Rhinolophus ferrumequinum: one gene and its partner. The protein of the gene in region 1 interacts with the protein of each later gene in a pairwise test. Links are inferred from orthologs where the notes say so. Each region holds a gene or a part of one and is shown in the gene's direction. Other genes may lie near its edges.

What was found. The genes of interacting proteins can lie anywhere in the genome.
Region 2: the proteins of UBQLN1 (region 1) and UBE2V1 interact in binary tests that used the Homo sapiens proteins (3 or more experiments, as listed by UniProt). The link is inferred for Rhinolophus ferrumequinum from reciprocal best matches to the Homo sapiens genes UBQLN1 and UBE2V1.

Annotation. Positions count from the first base shown.
Region 1 is NC_046295.1:47,098,031-47,104,882, reverse strand, and holds the start of UBQLN1 (ubiquilin-1), read left to right. Parts: upstream 1-3,833; 5' UTR 3,834-4,321; coding exon 4,322-4,501; intron 4,502-6,852. UniProt on the Homo sapiens protein: Plays an important role in the regulation of different protein degradation mechanisms and pathways including ubiquitin-proteasome system (UPS), autophagy and endoplasmic reticulum-associated protein degradation (ERAD) pathway.
Region 2 is NC_046306.1:9,444,003-9,451,469, forward strand, and holds the start of UBE2V1 (ubiquitin-conjugating enzyme E2 variant 1), read left to right. Parts: upstream 1-4,461; 5' UTR 4,462-4,563; coding exon 4,564-4,585; intron 4,586-7,467. UniProt on the Homo sapiens protein: Has no ubiquitin ligase activity on its own. The UBE2V1-UBE2N heterodimer catalyzes the synthesis of non-canonical poly-ubiquitin chains that are linked through Lys-63.

The DNA of each region.
Region 1 (6,852 bases):
CTCGCTGCTCAGGGTATTTATGATGTAATTGCTCTAGACTCCCTCCTCATAAGCCATGGCAAAGTATGTGCAATTGCTAAGACATCCTGCCATACCCAGATTAATGCTTTGGGGCAAGGGGAAGTCAATACAGAAACAGTACTAAGGAAGCAGCCAAAGTAGATCTCGATGGTTTATAGGATTTGTTCAGTTGATTGGGTCTGGACCCTTGAGGAGCAGTTAATACTGCAGGTTGGCCTCATCTTGCTACTTGGAATCTTGTTGATAATAGCCTTATTAAATGTTCTAGAGACAAAAAATGGATTTGATCCCAGCCTCTGGTGGTCAGATTAATCACAATGACCAACAGAGTGACACCCTCAAAGGAGTTTTCCAGAAGCCAAGAAGTGCAAAAACAAGGAGTGGATATCATCGGGAGATAATTCTTCATGGGTCTCTCATATTGTGTGTATTTTGTGAATACAGGCACTGACTACTATTGGTGGGCAGAATAATGGCTCCCCAAAGATCCTAATCCTCAGGACCTGTGACTCTGACGCTTTACATGTGAAGGACTTTGTAGATGTGATTAAGAGATGATGAGATTATCCTGGATTACTTAGGAGGGCTCAGTGTTATCACAAGGGTCCTTATAAGGGAAAGAGGGAGGCAGGAGAGTCAAGAGATATACAATTGAAGCAAAGTTGGAGTGATTTGTCCATAAACCAAGAATGTGGGCAGTCTCTAGAGGCAAGGAACAGATTCTATTTGTCCCCCAGAGCCTCCAGAAGGAACACAGCCTTTGATTTTAACCCTTTCTAAGATCCATTTTGGACTTCTGACCTCCAGACTTGTGAGGTAATAAACCTGTGGTGTTTTGAGCCACTAAATTTGTGGTTGTTAACAGCAGGAATAGGAAACTAATGTACTGCCTTTGTTTTGGACTATGTTTTCAAGGATATCTGTATAGCGAACTGTCCTTGAAGATCTCTGAGCAAAGGGCTGCAGGATTACTGCCCATTTGTAAGATCTGGGTTCCCCACGCTTGGGATTTCTCTTAATGCAAGTCACTGTATGTGCAGGTGTCACCTGGCCCTCTTTGCATCATTCTTCAGAGGTTAGGGCTTGCTGAACTGGTGCCAAAAAAAAAGAAAATAAAAAAAATAAAAAAAATGATGGTACCCTGGCTACTGCTATTACCGCAACAAAGTCTGTTTCCAACCTAGGAATTTTGTCTTCTGCCAGCATTCATGAAACTTGGCTTGTAAGTACGTAGTGGGAAAATCTCAGACCCTTCACAATGCCTGATTATAGAATAACTCAGATAAATCACACTGTCATTCTGTCTTCGCCTTTCAATTCACTTGGGAATCACGTTATATGAATTATTGGGATGAAATGGAGTGATTGAAGGCTATACGTTTTTTTCTTTTTTAAAACACCTCTCAGCTGCCTACAGGTATGTAGACTATCTCAATAGGTTGCCTTCTTAAGTACTACAGAACTCCCAACATCCTAAAGCATCTTTTCCTATAAGCATTAGTATTCTCTGGAATACGTAGATGATTTGCTTCACATAATAGATTTTGCATTTTCACCTACTTCTCTCTGATCTCAGAGAGTACTTAAAATTTCTCCATGGCTCATTTGCTTAGTCTACACAACATGATGGCAGACTCTTCACATAGGATAACCTCCTAAGGTCAGGAAACACAGTCCAAATACATATGTGTTGAATAAATTTGTTATCTGAAAAGAAATCATTAGGCTGAGAGCTTCACACAGTGAATGGTTCCTTCCTCTGAACCTATTGCGAAGCAAGTAAGTTTCAAGGTATAGCAGTATAAAGTACGCATATGATCTAGAGTTCTAAATGAAATTTCCTGTCTAGTGGAAACATGACAGCCCAATAATTCAGTTCAACAATAAATACTCTGAAGCCAGGAACTGAGTGCACTGTGTGATTAAGACTTGATCCCTGTTTTCAAAGATCTTGTCTAATAAAGGACTAGACACAATTACGTTTAATACACGGCAGAATGTGATAAGTGACACCAAAAACAGCAATAAAGCTATATGGGAATATGCGGTATTTATAGAGAATGTATGGCCTACAAAGTCTAACATACTATCTAGTCTTACTTGAAAGTTTGTTGATCCCTGATCTGGACCCCCATCTTCAAAGGTTCCTTACAAGGTAGGATTATTTCTAAAAAGTGCTTTAATGAACAAATAACTATACCATATATTCTTACAGATACAGTACTTCATAAATTGTGCAAATACTTCAGAATTTAGAAATTAATGTAGACAATTAATTACAGAACAATTTTCTTAAGTGTTGGGTTAGAGATAAATGACTGGTTGTCCAATGGTGGAATTTTCTACCTTGAGAAGTAATGATTACCTTACATCTAGACACAAATATAGTCATCCTTCAGCAGAGAGCCTTGCATATGTTATTGAACAATGCTGTCAGAAATTTAGCTGATACCAGATGATGACTATATTGCAATTTATACTTTCCCCCCCCCTTCTTCCGCCTGCCCTCACCCCTGCCCCCCATTCTGGTTCAAGCCCTATTTCTCAGTCCAGCTGTGTATTATGAGCCTTGCACTCCCTCCCTGCTGAGGCAATCAGCTGGCCACTCATGGTAGCCTACCGCAGCACATAGCAGCCCACAGCAGCCCACGCCAACCTCCTGCAGCTCATGGCAGCCCAGCTCCCGGGAGAGCCATTGTTCACAATCTTAGCTGTAGAGGGAGCAGCTTACTGGCCCATGTGAGACTTGAACCAGCCACCTCCTCCACCTGTTTGTTAGCACTTGGAGTGCAGCGCTCCAACCACCTGAGCCACCAGGCCGGCCCCAATTTATACTTTCACAACTCCTTAGGCCCAGATTCCAAAGGGACTCTGCTTTAAAGTAGTCTTCATGCAACAGTATTTTTTTCCCAGAAGAGAGTTGGATAATTTAAAAACAAATGCAGAGTGCATCTTTGCAATATTTGGGTCACGTTGGGCTGTCGGGGTTTACATTTGTGTAACACCGATTAATAAAGTTAACGTTCTGGGTTGTACATTCCTTGAAAGTCATCTTTAAAGGCAAACAATGGCATCATTTTAAATTTGGAATTTTCAAGGGGAAAATAACTTCTTATTCCTTATTTGTACCTACACTACATTGAAAATAATTATCTTTAATATTACCTAAAGTTTGAAATAGAGCAGTAACTTAATTTGGTAGAATATAAAATGGAACACTTCGGCTAAACTTCCTAGTTGGGTGGGCACTGTTTCTGTCCCAATTTATGGGATAGTGTTCCCAGAAAATTGGGGGGGTGGCGGTGCTCGCGCAGGATTGTAAGAGCGGGAGCGGAGGCCCCAGTCAACACAGGTGGCCTGATCACCTGAGCACACTGGCCTGACCCAAGGACAGGAAGCCGTGGCCATAGAGCAATGACTCGCGGGATTGCGCACAGCGGCTGGAGACGTCTACATTTTCCTTTCGTAATGAGGATTTTTCCTCCATTAACTTAACTTCCAACTTCCGCGCACTGGGCACTAAGATCAAGCATTTTAAACCTTCCAAATAGGCAAAAACTGATCGTATTAAAATAACAAAACACCTCCCCTGCATTTATTACAGACCCCCGTCCCAGTGGGATGTACGGAGGGCGCCCAGACCCGCGAGCGCGGCGGCACGGCCTTTGACAGAACCGGGTAGGGGGAACTAACTGGACCCCCACCGCGCAGCCGCGACCACAGCAGCAGCGCCCAGTGGTCGAGCCCCCTTTCTAGTATTTTCGCTAGGCGCAACGTCATTCCCGTGCGCCGTGACAGTGCCTCCCAGAACCTGCGAATTTATTTTTTGGTGAAAGGAGTGAAAAGAAATGAACTGACCTCTCCCACTACACTTTGCTTTTAGTCCTTCCCTCTGGCCGTGCCTACAATTTGGGCCATGGAGCGGGAAAGGGAACGTAAAGCAGCCGGAACTCGAAGCGGCGCCGGCTGGGCATGACTCGGTGACGCCGCCAGCCGCATTACCCGGCGTGCCCTGCGCCGCGCCGGCGGAGGGACGTTGGGGAGGGGTGGGGAGGAGGAAGCGGCGGCGGCTGCGGATGTCGCTGCGACCAAGCCGCGTCTGAACGGCGGCTGCCGAACGGCCGACCCGGGCCTGCACCGGAGCCCACACCCAGCTCCGCGGCCCGCCGCCCGCGGCCCTGCGCCTGTTGACACCAAGGCGGCGCGTCCTGTATTCTCCGTTGCCCGAGCCAGCCTGCTGTGGCGTCTCCTGGCTCCCCCTCGCTCGCCTGCACCCTCCTGAGTCACTGCCGCCGCCGCCATGGCCGAGAGTGGTGAAAGCGGTGGCCCTCCGAGCTCCCAGGACAGCGCCGCCGCGGCCGAAGGTGCCGGTTCCCCCGCGGCCGCTGCCTCCGCGGAGCCCAAGATCATGAAAGTCACCGTGAAGACCCCGAAGGAGAAGGAGGAGTTCGCTGTGCCCGAGAATAGCTCCGTCCAGCAGGTGAGGGCCGCCCTGCGCTCGGGCCGGGGTGGGGGTGGCGGCAGGACCTCCGCCCGCGGCGGGAGGAGACGGCTTTGCAAAGGCCTGGGAGGGGGTCGTCCCCGGAGGTGCTCTCGGCCATCTCCGGGCTCGTCCCAAATTAGATCACACCCAACTCCGTGGATTTGCGCCTTGGGACACCGCTGAGGTTTGTGGCGGGGCCGCGCGGCCTGTTTGTAGAACGCGCCGACGCCGCTTCCCTCCGCGCCTTCCTTTTGCTCTGGCGTCCACGGACCCCCAGCCTCCGCCCCCAGCTCCCCGCCCCCAGCCGCCTCCCCGCTGCTCAGCACAAAGGAAAAGGACTCACCGTCTGGCTCCTGGCGAGGTGAAGGCTGAGCCGGGGCGAGGGTTCACTTTAATCTAGTCGGCGGTTTTGTCTCATGAATAAAAAAACTGGGCGGGGGGTGCTCATTGTTTTACCTGCCTGTGGGTTAAGGTGGATTTTACTGTGAGGAGCACGTGTACATTTAGTTTTGCATTTTGACTGCTGATGTCTTGCCCATACTTTATATTTAGTTTTTTAAATTAACTATGACGTAGATATTGCGTACAGCCACATCGTAAGAAGTAATACTAGGCTTAAGGAGAAAGGTGGATGACTTGCAATGATGACTTGCTGTTTTTAATGTGTTTATCTTGCCTTAGATGCCAATCATTGAGTTGCTTTTTGTTTGATTTTAGAGGAACGATAGCTGCGTTATTCAGATATTATCGTAGCGGTTGCAATCGAATAAAAGAACATAGTTGGCGTTAATGGACAATGCTATCGAATAATTTATAACTTAAAATCTTCAGGAATACAAATTGTGCAGTTAATTAGAAATCTTGAAGAATTCAACAAATGGTTTTAACTTTGTTGAATACATCCCAGAAAATTTTCTGTAATTATTGATCTCTGGCGATTTCAAACATTGTGAACAGTTTATGAGGAAACAGCAGACCCTAAAATGTACCTGTTTCCCCAGGGACGGTAAATGGGGTATTGGTTTATATAGTTCCAAAAGGTGGTGTGTTTTTTGAAGCGGTAAGTAGAGCATGTAGCATCGAGTGAGAGAAACTTTTACCACCTACTGAATCACCACGTTTTTTGTCTCAATTTTCCTAGGAAATTTTTCCTTAATTTTATATTTTACAACATACAGGAAAATTGAAAGAATTAGACAACGAACACCCATATGTCTATTGCCTACAATTAGCATTTTGCTGTATTTGCTCTATCACATCATTTATTAGTCCATTTTATTTTTTGGATGAATTTCAAAGTAAGTTGTAAGTATCAATTCATGTTACCCTTAAAAAGAACTTCAGCAATGTGCACATCATTAACCTGAGTTCAATTTTTCTTTTAATTTTTTTCTTTTTAAGTTTGACTTGCAATAAAATACACATGGTTTCCATTCTGTGTATTTCCACAAAACTCCTGTGTAATCTAAAGACTCATCATGATGTAGAACTTTATAGTAGACTAGAAAGTTACGTCTTACCCAGTCAGTTCAGTCACTCTCCCCTCCATCAACCACTGTTTTCATTTTTTTCCCCATGGGTTGGTTTTGCCCACCCTAGAATTTCACATAAGTGGGATTATATAGTATGTATTGGGTAAGGCTTTTTATTCACTCAGCATATATAAGTTTTTGAGATTTATTCTTGTATATATCACTGATTCCTTTTTTGTTGCTGTGTTGTTTTCCATTGTATGAATATACAGTGGTACTTAGGTTTTCCAACATCTCCGTTGACGAACATTTCAGTTTATGAACGCCGTAAGTTTTATGGATCTATGGTATCATTAAATAGTAAAATTCATGCTGAATTTGCAGTTTTAGGGGTTGATTTTAAAGATCTGGAATGGATTAATCCATTTTGCATTACTTCCTATGGGGAAACCGAGCCTCGGTTTTTGAACATTTCAGAACTCAGAACGGTCTTCCAGAATGGATTATGTTCGAAAACCGAGGTACCACTGTACCGTAGTTTATCCATTTTGTTGAGGTTACTTTGGCTGTTTCCAGTTAGTTGCTGTGAACATTCTTGTACAAATCTTTTTTGGACAGATGCTTGTCTCATTAAATACAATGGTACCTCGGTTTTTTAACGTAATCTGTTCCAGAAGACCGTTCGAGTTCTGAAACGTTTGAAAACAGCTGACAGCTAGGCCTCAGGATCTTGCACTCAGCGGAAGCCATGTGACATGGAAGCCATGTGACATATTCCACTTCCGAGGCGTGTTTGAAAACCAAAGCATTTACTTCTGGGTTTACGGCATTCGTAAACTGAAATGTTTGTCAACAGAGAGGTTCGAAAACCGAGGT
Region 2 (7,467 bases), on another chromosome or scaffold:
TTTCCCCCAACTCCAGACTCTTGGTTTTTATTCCTTTTTCCCTGACCACAAAAGTTAACAGATAATATAAAATTCTGACATTACAGAAATAAATTGTATAGGAAGAAGCCAATGGAAACAACTCAGATGTCCATCAGTAGAAGAGTGAGTGAATGAATTGTACCAGATCCCCCTACCCACCTACTGCCATCCCTTTCTGGTTGTATATTTTAGCAGCAATACCAAACATTCAATGCTATACTTCAGACACACCTAGGGAACAGAACTCCATGTATGTGCCATGAGATGCCACTAGCAAATGTGTCACACACACCCTCAACCACAGACACCTCCCTAGGAATTATACGCTCTGTCTTCTGGGTTCCCGTGACACTTCCTATCAACAGTTCGTCAGCTTTACTTTCTGTAGTTTGTATTATACAAGCTATAGCACGGAGGTTGGGGTTTTTCTTTAACTCTAAATGGGAAATATAAACAAAATTATATAATGTTATCCACAACCTTGCTATTCAAAGTGTAGTCTGTGGGTCAGCATTGGTATCCCTTGGAGCTCATTAGAAATGCGGAATCTCAGCACTCCTCACCCCCATGGAACCAGAATCTGCATTTTAAAAAGATTCCTAGTGATTTGTGTCACACAGTAGAGTTTGAGAAGTGTGTGTTGCTCCAAAAACTAATATTGTAGATTTTGTAAAGTATATTGCAGTTTTTACATTTTGAATGTACTGTTGCAAATTATTCATGCCTTTCACATCCAGAGATTCCAAAACTGCCCAGATGTTTCCCCATCTTTTGAGAACAGTGTTTTTCAGTGAACACTGGGGAACCGTCCACATCTATATATCTCTTGATTGGAGCATTGTGCCAGCTTCCTGTATCAACTATGTATACTTCAGGCTGTAGACCACATACACTTACCTTTAAGAGCAGCTTAAGCAATAAAAACAATCATTGGATCATGTCTTAAGAAGCCTGTTGGTAGGCAGTCCCTGGATTCATCCAGCAGCTCAACTACATCAGCCAGGTCCTAGCTCTTTCTGTCTTTCTGTGCTGGCCTCTTTGGTGAGACGGTAGGCTTTTTGGCCTCAGGCTTGTGTCGCATGGTTTCATTATGATTGCCACCGCTCCATCCATCACAATCTCATCTTTAGGAAGGAGGAAAGGGGACAAAAAAAGGTTTTCTCTTCTGCTGTTATGAAGGGACAAAAACTTTTCTAACATGCCCCCTCCACAATTCATTGACCAGAAAGAACTAGGACACAGGTACGCCACTGGATCAATCACTGGCAAAAAGAAATGGTAGTGCCCATGACTGGCTTGGATTCACACCTAAACACTGGACCTTCTGGCGCGAAGGGCCATGGAGACTGGACGGAGAGTCAGGAGTGTCCGACGCACTTCCTCTCTGGACTCCACACCTCCAGTCTTGCGGCAGCCCAATTCAATCTCCTCAAGGCAGCCAGGTTGCGTTTGTAAAAATGCAAATACGCTCACATTTTGCTTCAAACTTCTCAGGCTCCACCTTCCTCACCACAGAGGAAACAGCAGGTGACCCAGGATTAAGAGAACCCAATTCCAAAACTGGATTTTACTCCTTCGTGTTGTATGACCCTGGGAAAGCCATCTAACTCCTTCCAGCCTCAGTTCCCTCATCTGACAAGAAAAGATCATAATAGCTACTTTGCAAGGGTCAATGAGGATTAAATAATAATAATAATAATAATAATAATAATAATAATAATAATAGTGGTAGCTAATACTTATATAGCACTCGCTCTGTGCCAAACCCTTTTTTAAATTCTTTAGTTCTATTAACCATTTTAATATTCCCAACAATATCATAAAACAGAGCTCTCTTATCTGCACCAGCTGAAGCTACCGGCTCAAGCGGAGCAGGGACCGGGCCCAAACACGCCAGAGAAATCCCGCACTGGGGACCGGCTGTGACCTCTGGGGAGGGGGCGGAGTTTCTCCGAGAGAGTGTGAGCAAGGGGAGGACTACAACTCCCAGAAGGCTCTGCGACACCGCTGGACTATAATAACCAGCATGCCCGGAGACTTCCTGCTTAACCTATTCCTCCTGCTAGGTATTTTGCATAGGAATTTGCTTTATTGTCGATAAATATTTTTCGCTTGCCAGAAATTCCCTATGAGTACCAAGGAATCTACGCAAGTAAATATTTATGATCATCGTGGATAAGAGGCTTGTGTTTCAATCCTCATTGTTAGCTGAAAAAGTCAGTTTTCTCATCTCTAAAATGGGGATATACCTAGGAGATGCCGCATTGAGTTGTTGTGTTGCGACGATTAAAACCTGGATGTCTTGGTAAATGCCATTTCTTCTAGTGACCCTCCTTCCTCTGTGCCCAACGGTTTTATTTTGCTGTTTATTTATGCTACCTGGGCATTTTATTTCCACAACACCCTATGAGGTTGATACTATCCTTTTTTCAGAAGGGAAAACTAATGCCAGGAGGGGTTCAAGTCTCTTGCCTGAAGTCACACAGCAAAGTGAGTGGTGGAGGATTCAAACCCAGAAAACTTCACTCTAGAGGTGAGTCCACCTTAGGAGCCCAAACGCTTCCCACCTGCTACCTGATGCTTTACAGGGACCCAAAGATCAGGGCAAATATTTTCCATTGTCTTCAAGGTAAACTGGAATGATGTGATACATGGAATGTCGAGATGCTTGCCTGTGGCCAGTGCTGGGAAGGAGACACTCTTGACACTTTGCAAATCGATTACGGCTGCATTTGATCTGGATGGCGAAATTAGGAAAAGCTTCCCTAAGAGGGCGAACATCTTCCTGCACAGAAGAGCAGGAACAGTCCAGTCAAAGGCCCTGAGGAGGGAGAGGACTTGTGTTCCAGAGGCCTTGAAAAGGGCCAGTGTAACTGGAGAGGTACAGCAAGTCTGAGGTGCAGGTAGTGAGTGCCATGGAGGGGTGAAAGTTGAGGGTATACCTTTTAGGGAGGCACAGCGTGAAAGCCTCCTTAAATTTGATTCCTTAGACTCCTCACTGGCCCCATCCTAGTCCTAGCCCTAGGTGCAGGGCCTTGTGGTAGGGTGGCCATCCGTCCTGGTTTGCCCTGAAGAGTCCTCGTTTCTGCTTGCTGCCCTGGCAAGATTATACTAGGCCCACTTTCAGTCTGACGAGTGTCCTTGTTGGAGGATCATTCTATGGCCACTCAGTTTGTAGTCTGTATTCTTATCCCAAGGTAGTGGGAAGCTACTGAAAAGTTTTCCCTGATGGGTTTTGGAGCAGACTCTGGCTGCCATGTGGAGCATGGATCATGGGGTCATGAATGAAGGCTGCTGGGGTCATCCAGTGGGAGGAGACAGGGGCAGCCTATCCTAAGGAAGAACAGTGGATGGAGTTGAGAAATGCTCAGGAAGCATGGCTGTCAGAACAAGGTGATGGCTTGGATGTGCTGAGTAAGGGCTTCCGGCTTTCTTGTTCCTCGGTACTGAAGTTCTGGTCCTTCCTCTGCCAGTGTTTAGCTGTGTGACCTTCAAGCAGTTCCTTTACCTCTCACAGCCTGTTTCCACATCCATATAAGGGCTTCTCAGACCATCTGTGGTAAAGGGGGAGTTGCTTCTTGCATTGAACATGTACCTGCAAATATATGTCTCCAGGACGTGTAAACAGTTTCCTCTACCTCCTTCACATCCTTCAGGTCTCCATTAAAATGTGACCACCTTAGGAGTCCCTCCCTGACCACCCCCTGCTGCGCCTTCCCTGGTTTACTCTCTATCCCTGGTTTACTCTCTGGTTTACTCTCTATGTTACTCTCTAACATAATCTCATAATTATGTTCTTTCCTGTTAGTTTACTTGCTCTCTGTCTCCGGCTAGAATGTACGCCCGTAGGAGGAGGGGCTTGCTTCTTCAGGGATGTATATCCATCCCCAGCACCTAGTACAGCACCTGGCCCATAGTAGATGCTTAGTTAAGTGTTTGGATGAACAAATCGATCGATGTGTAAATGAGTGAATGCTTTTCCTGCCACTCTAATGCCCCAAATTATTTAGTTGCCCGGTTACAAGCCTCCTCTGGCGCAGGAGCATCAACCCTAGAAGCAAGAAGATCAGGCCTGGGTTCAGATTCGGCCTTAGCCACTTAACAGCTGAATTTAGATAAATGGCTTAACCCGACTCAGCTTCGTTTTTCATATTAATCTCGACCTGGTAGGGATGTGGTGAGGATCCAACTAGATAGGAAAATGCTCGAAACGAAATAGGCGCTTTTTTACAATTGTCTTTTCTTCTCTTTCTCTCACAATCTCGCCTCCCAAGTCTGATCACCCCTGCCCTTCTCACCAAGCATCTCAATACCTCCTTCGCACCCAAGCCCGGAGGGACTTGCACATAGCCGGGCCCTCGCGCAAGCAAATATTTCCTCTATCTATAAAGGCAGGAAAAAAACCTTCCCCAGCATCGGATCGCGTGGTCCGCGGCAGGCGTCAGCGATGACGTCTGCGCCTGCGCGCACGCTTGCGCAGAAGGGCCCAAGGACGGGTGGGGGGTGAAGAAGGGGCCGGCCTTCGAGCGACAGCGACGCAAGATGGCAGCCACCACGGGCTCGGGTGAGCGGGGGCGCCGGGCCCTGCCGGCCGAAGGAACGCGGGCTCGGGCCGGGGGTCGGGGACCCGCAAAGGCCCTTGCAGCGGGACTAGGGCCTCTGCGCTGCCTCTGTCCGCCAGGCTCCGCGGCGGCTGCCCGGCGGGCCTGAGTGGGAGGAGGAGCAGGCGGCGGCCGGAAGCACGGGCGGGGGCCTGAGGGGCCTGTGGGCGGCGCGGCGAGGCCCAGAAGCTCCCCCGGGCGGCGTGAGGGCCCCGCAGGGAGGAAGGGACGGGCCCCGCGGCGCTGCTGAGCGGCGGGAGCGGGCGAGGGGAGCGCCCAGAGGCACTGCTGAGGAGATCGGGGCTGGCGGCTCTTTGGTGGAGATCGAGGGGTTCCGTAGAGGAGGAGGAGGCGCCTTAAGGCTTATGGAAATCCTTTTCTGCATGCTGTTCGTCCGGGTGGCGGGGGGAAGCCTTGGGATGTTCGTTTGGCGGGGACTTCAGAGAAGCCCGTCAGGATGGATGGGAGGAGGAAACGGGATCCTGAGGAATGACTGAGAGGATCCCCCATTGGCTAAGGGGACGGCTCCTGCGTTAGTTTTGGGGATGAGGTTAGCTGAGGAAATCTCTGTGTTGATTAGAAAAGGGGCGTCTTGGGTGGCTACGTTTGCGGGGAGTAAGGGCATCTCTACACAATAAGTGAGAAGGGTGAAAGGATCTCTCAGGTTCCTGAGGGTGCCGGTTGGGGCAGCCGATAGTGAAATGATGCCATCGTTACCAGCCCCTATTTGAGGACACAGATGTTAGGCTTTAGGAGGCAGGCTCCGATGGTGCAGTTGGTGGAGACTTGCGATATTGGGTGAAGAACAGGTGAATTGGGAGCCCTGGAGGTGTTTGGTGGGGGAGAGGGGAGTCAACTGAGGGAAGCCCCATGCAGTGGATGAGAGTGGGAAAAGGTCGGGTTTCAGAGAGGTTTCCTTTAAAGAAGAAAAATCTCCTTTATTGGCTGAGGGAAGCATACCCCGGAAGTGTCTGTTTTGTGGAAACTGGCACTCCCTTCCAGTCCTTTGGATATTGTTAATATGATATGTGGCTTCAGCTCAGAAGTTCCCCATTGGCTGGATGGGTGTGGGGAGAGGAACAAATGCAGTGGGAATTCTTGGGTGACTGCTGGGGGAAGGAAAGCTGAGGAAAGCCCCACTTCTCCAGGAGGGCAGGAGAGAATGAAGGAGCTACACCTTGGAGGAGGGGGCGTTCGTCCAGTCCCTAGTAGGTTGAGGGAAGCAGCACTTATTTTGAGACTGGATTCCCTGCTCTATGCTCTTAAGATGGGCCTGAGGATCAAATCCTGAAAGGTCTGTTTCAAACTTATCCTGCAGCTGGACATGAGGGGACAGACTCAGGTGGCCTTCTTGAGGAGGCAGGGGGAGGATTGGCTGGGGAAGGTCCCCCAGAGGGGCTGAAGAGGTGAGAGAGTCAGATTCTGGAAGTGCAGCATTTGGGGGTGACAGTTTCCCCCTTTGGTGACGAAGCTATACCCTGAGGCCTTTGGCAGTCAAGTTGCTCAAAAAGGCCCTCCCAGATGGGGTGATCATGGTGGAGGAAGTAACAGGGCTACTAGCCTGGGTACTGAAATCCTCTGGCTATCGAAGGCTGTTGACATAAAGTGAACAGCGTGAGAAAATCCATGTCTTTCCAGGATGTGGCTCCTCCAGTATCCCAAGGAGCCATTCTTGCCTGATAATTGGGTGGGAATAGAAGGAAATGTATGTAGGGGATCTAAAGGAAGTGACCTACCACCGCTGCCTTTTACACTGAAAGCAGCAGGATCTTCCTGGAGGATAGAGGAGACCACACATGCTTTTCCTAGACTTTGGTTTCAGTTGGAACAGTGCCGAGTCAATTCGTTTACCAAGACACTGCCATAGACACTCAGAAGAGAGAGGCTGAGTCAGGCCAGACTGCTGTGGGAAATTTCTCACCGGAGTAACACCTCTGCCAGGTTGCTATGACCTGGGGTGGGGGCGGGGTTGGGGGGACCACAATGTACCCATAGCAGCCAGCGTTACGGTAGTATTGCAACTAAGCCCTGTTGTCAGTCACTTGAGATTGGCTCCCTACCATCCGGTTTAACTGCTACTGAATTCTAACTTCCTGAGGCCCTGCCAACTGGAGTGCTTCATAAATGCAATGGTGGTCAGATAAAGCAATGTCAGCTCCTGGCTAGTGGAGTACAAGAGCACTTGGCATGGTTTAGATAACGTGGAACAGGCTTTGAGGTGCCCTAAAATGGGCTTCCCCAAACTGCTTTGTTTATTCAACAGATATTTATTGAGGGCCTGCTATGTCCCAGGGTGACTAGTGAACAAGATGGACAAAGCCCTGTCCTTGAGCTTCTAGTCAGGGAGAAGCCTGTGAAAGGAGTGATTAAGAGAATTTCAGATAGCAGTACGTGCTATGAAGGAAACTGTGATGTGATCAATGATCTGGAGAGGTAGTCAGGGACGCCTTCTCTGACATGGGGCTTTGAACTGACGGAAGGAGCCAAGCCTGTGTCACAGGCAGGAGAGGGGGAGACAGTGAATGCAAAGGCACTGGCAGGGCCAAGCTTAGCATATTGAATGAACAAAATAAAGGCCGTAGTGTGCAAGGGAGGCCGCTAAGGATGATGAGTTGGAGACAGGGCTTTGGGTTTTATTCAATGTAAGGGGAAACCATTAAGCAAATGTCTGGTATGAAGTAAGCATTCAGTAAATATTTGTTGAATGAATGAATGAATGAATGGTCTTAAAAAGAGGGGAATGACAAGATCTGGCCTGTACCCCCAGGCAGTGAAAAGAGTGTAGAGTGCTGAGAGTGGAAGCAGAAAAATCTTAATTGGGTTCAACTGAAATGAGTGTGCAGAC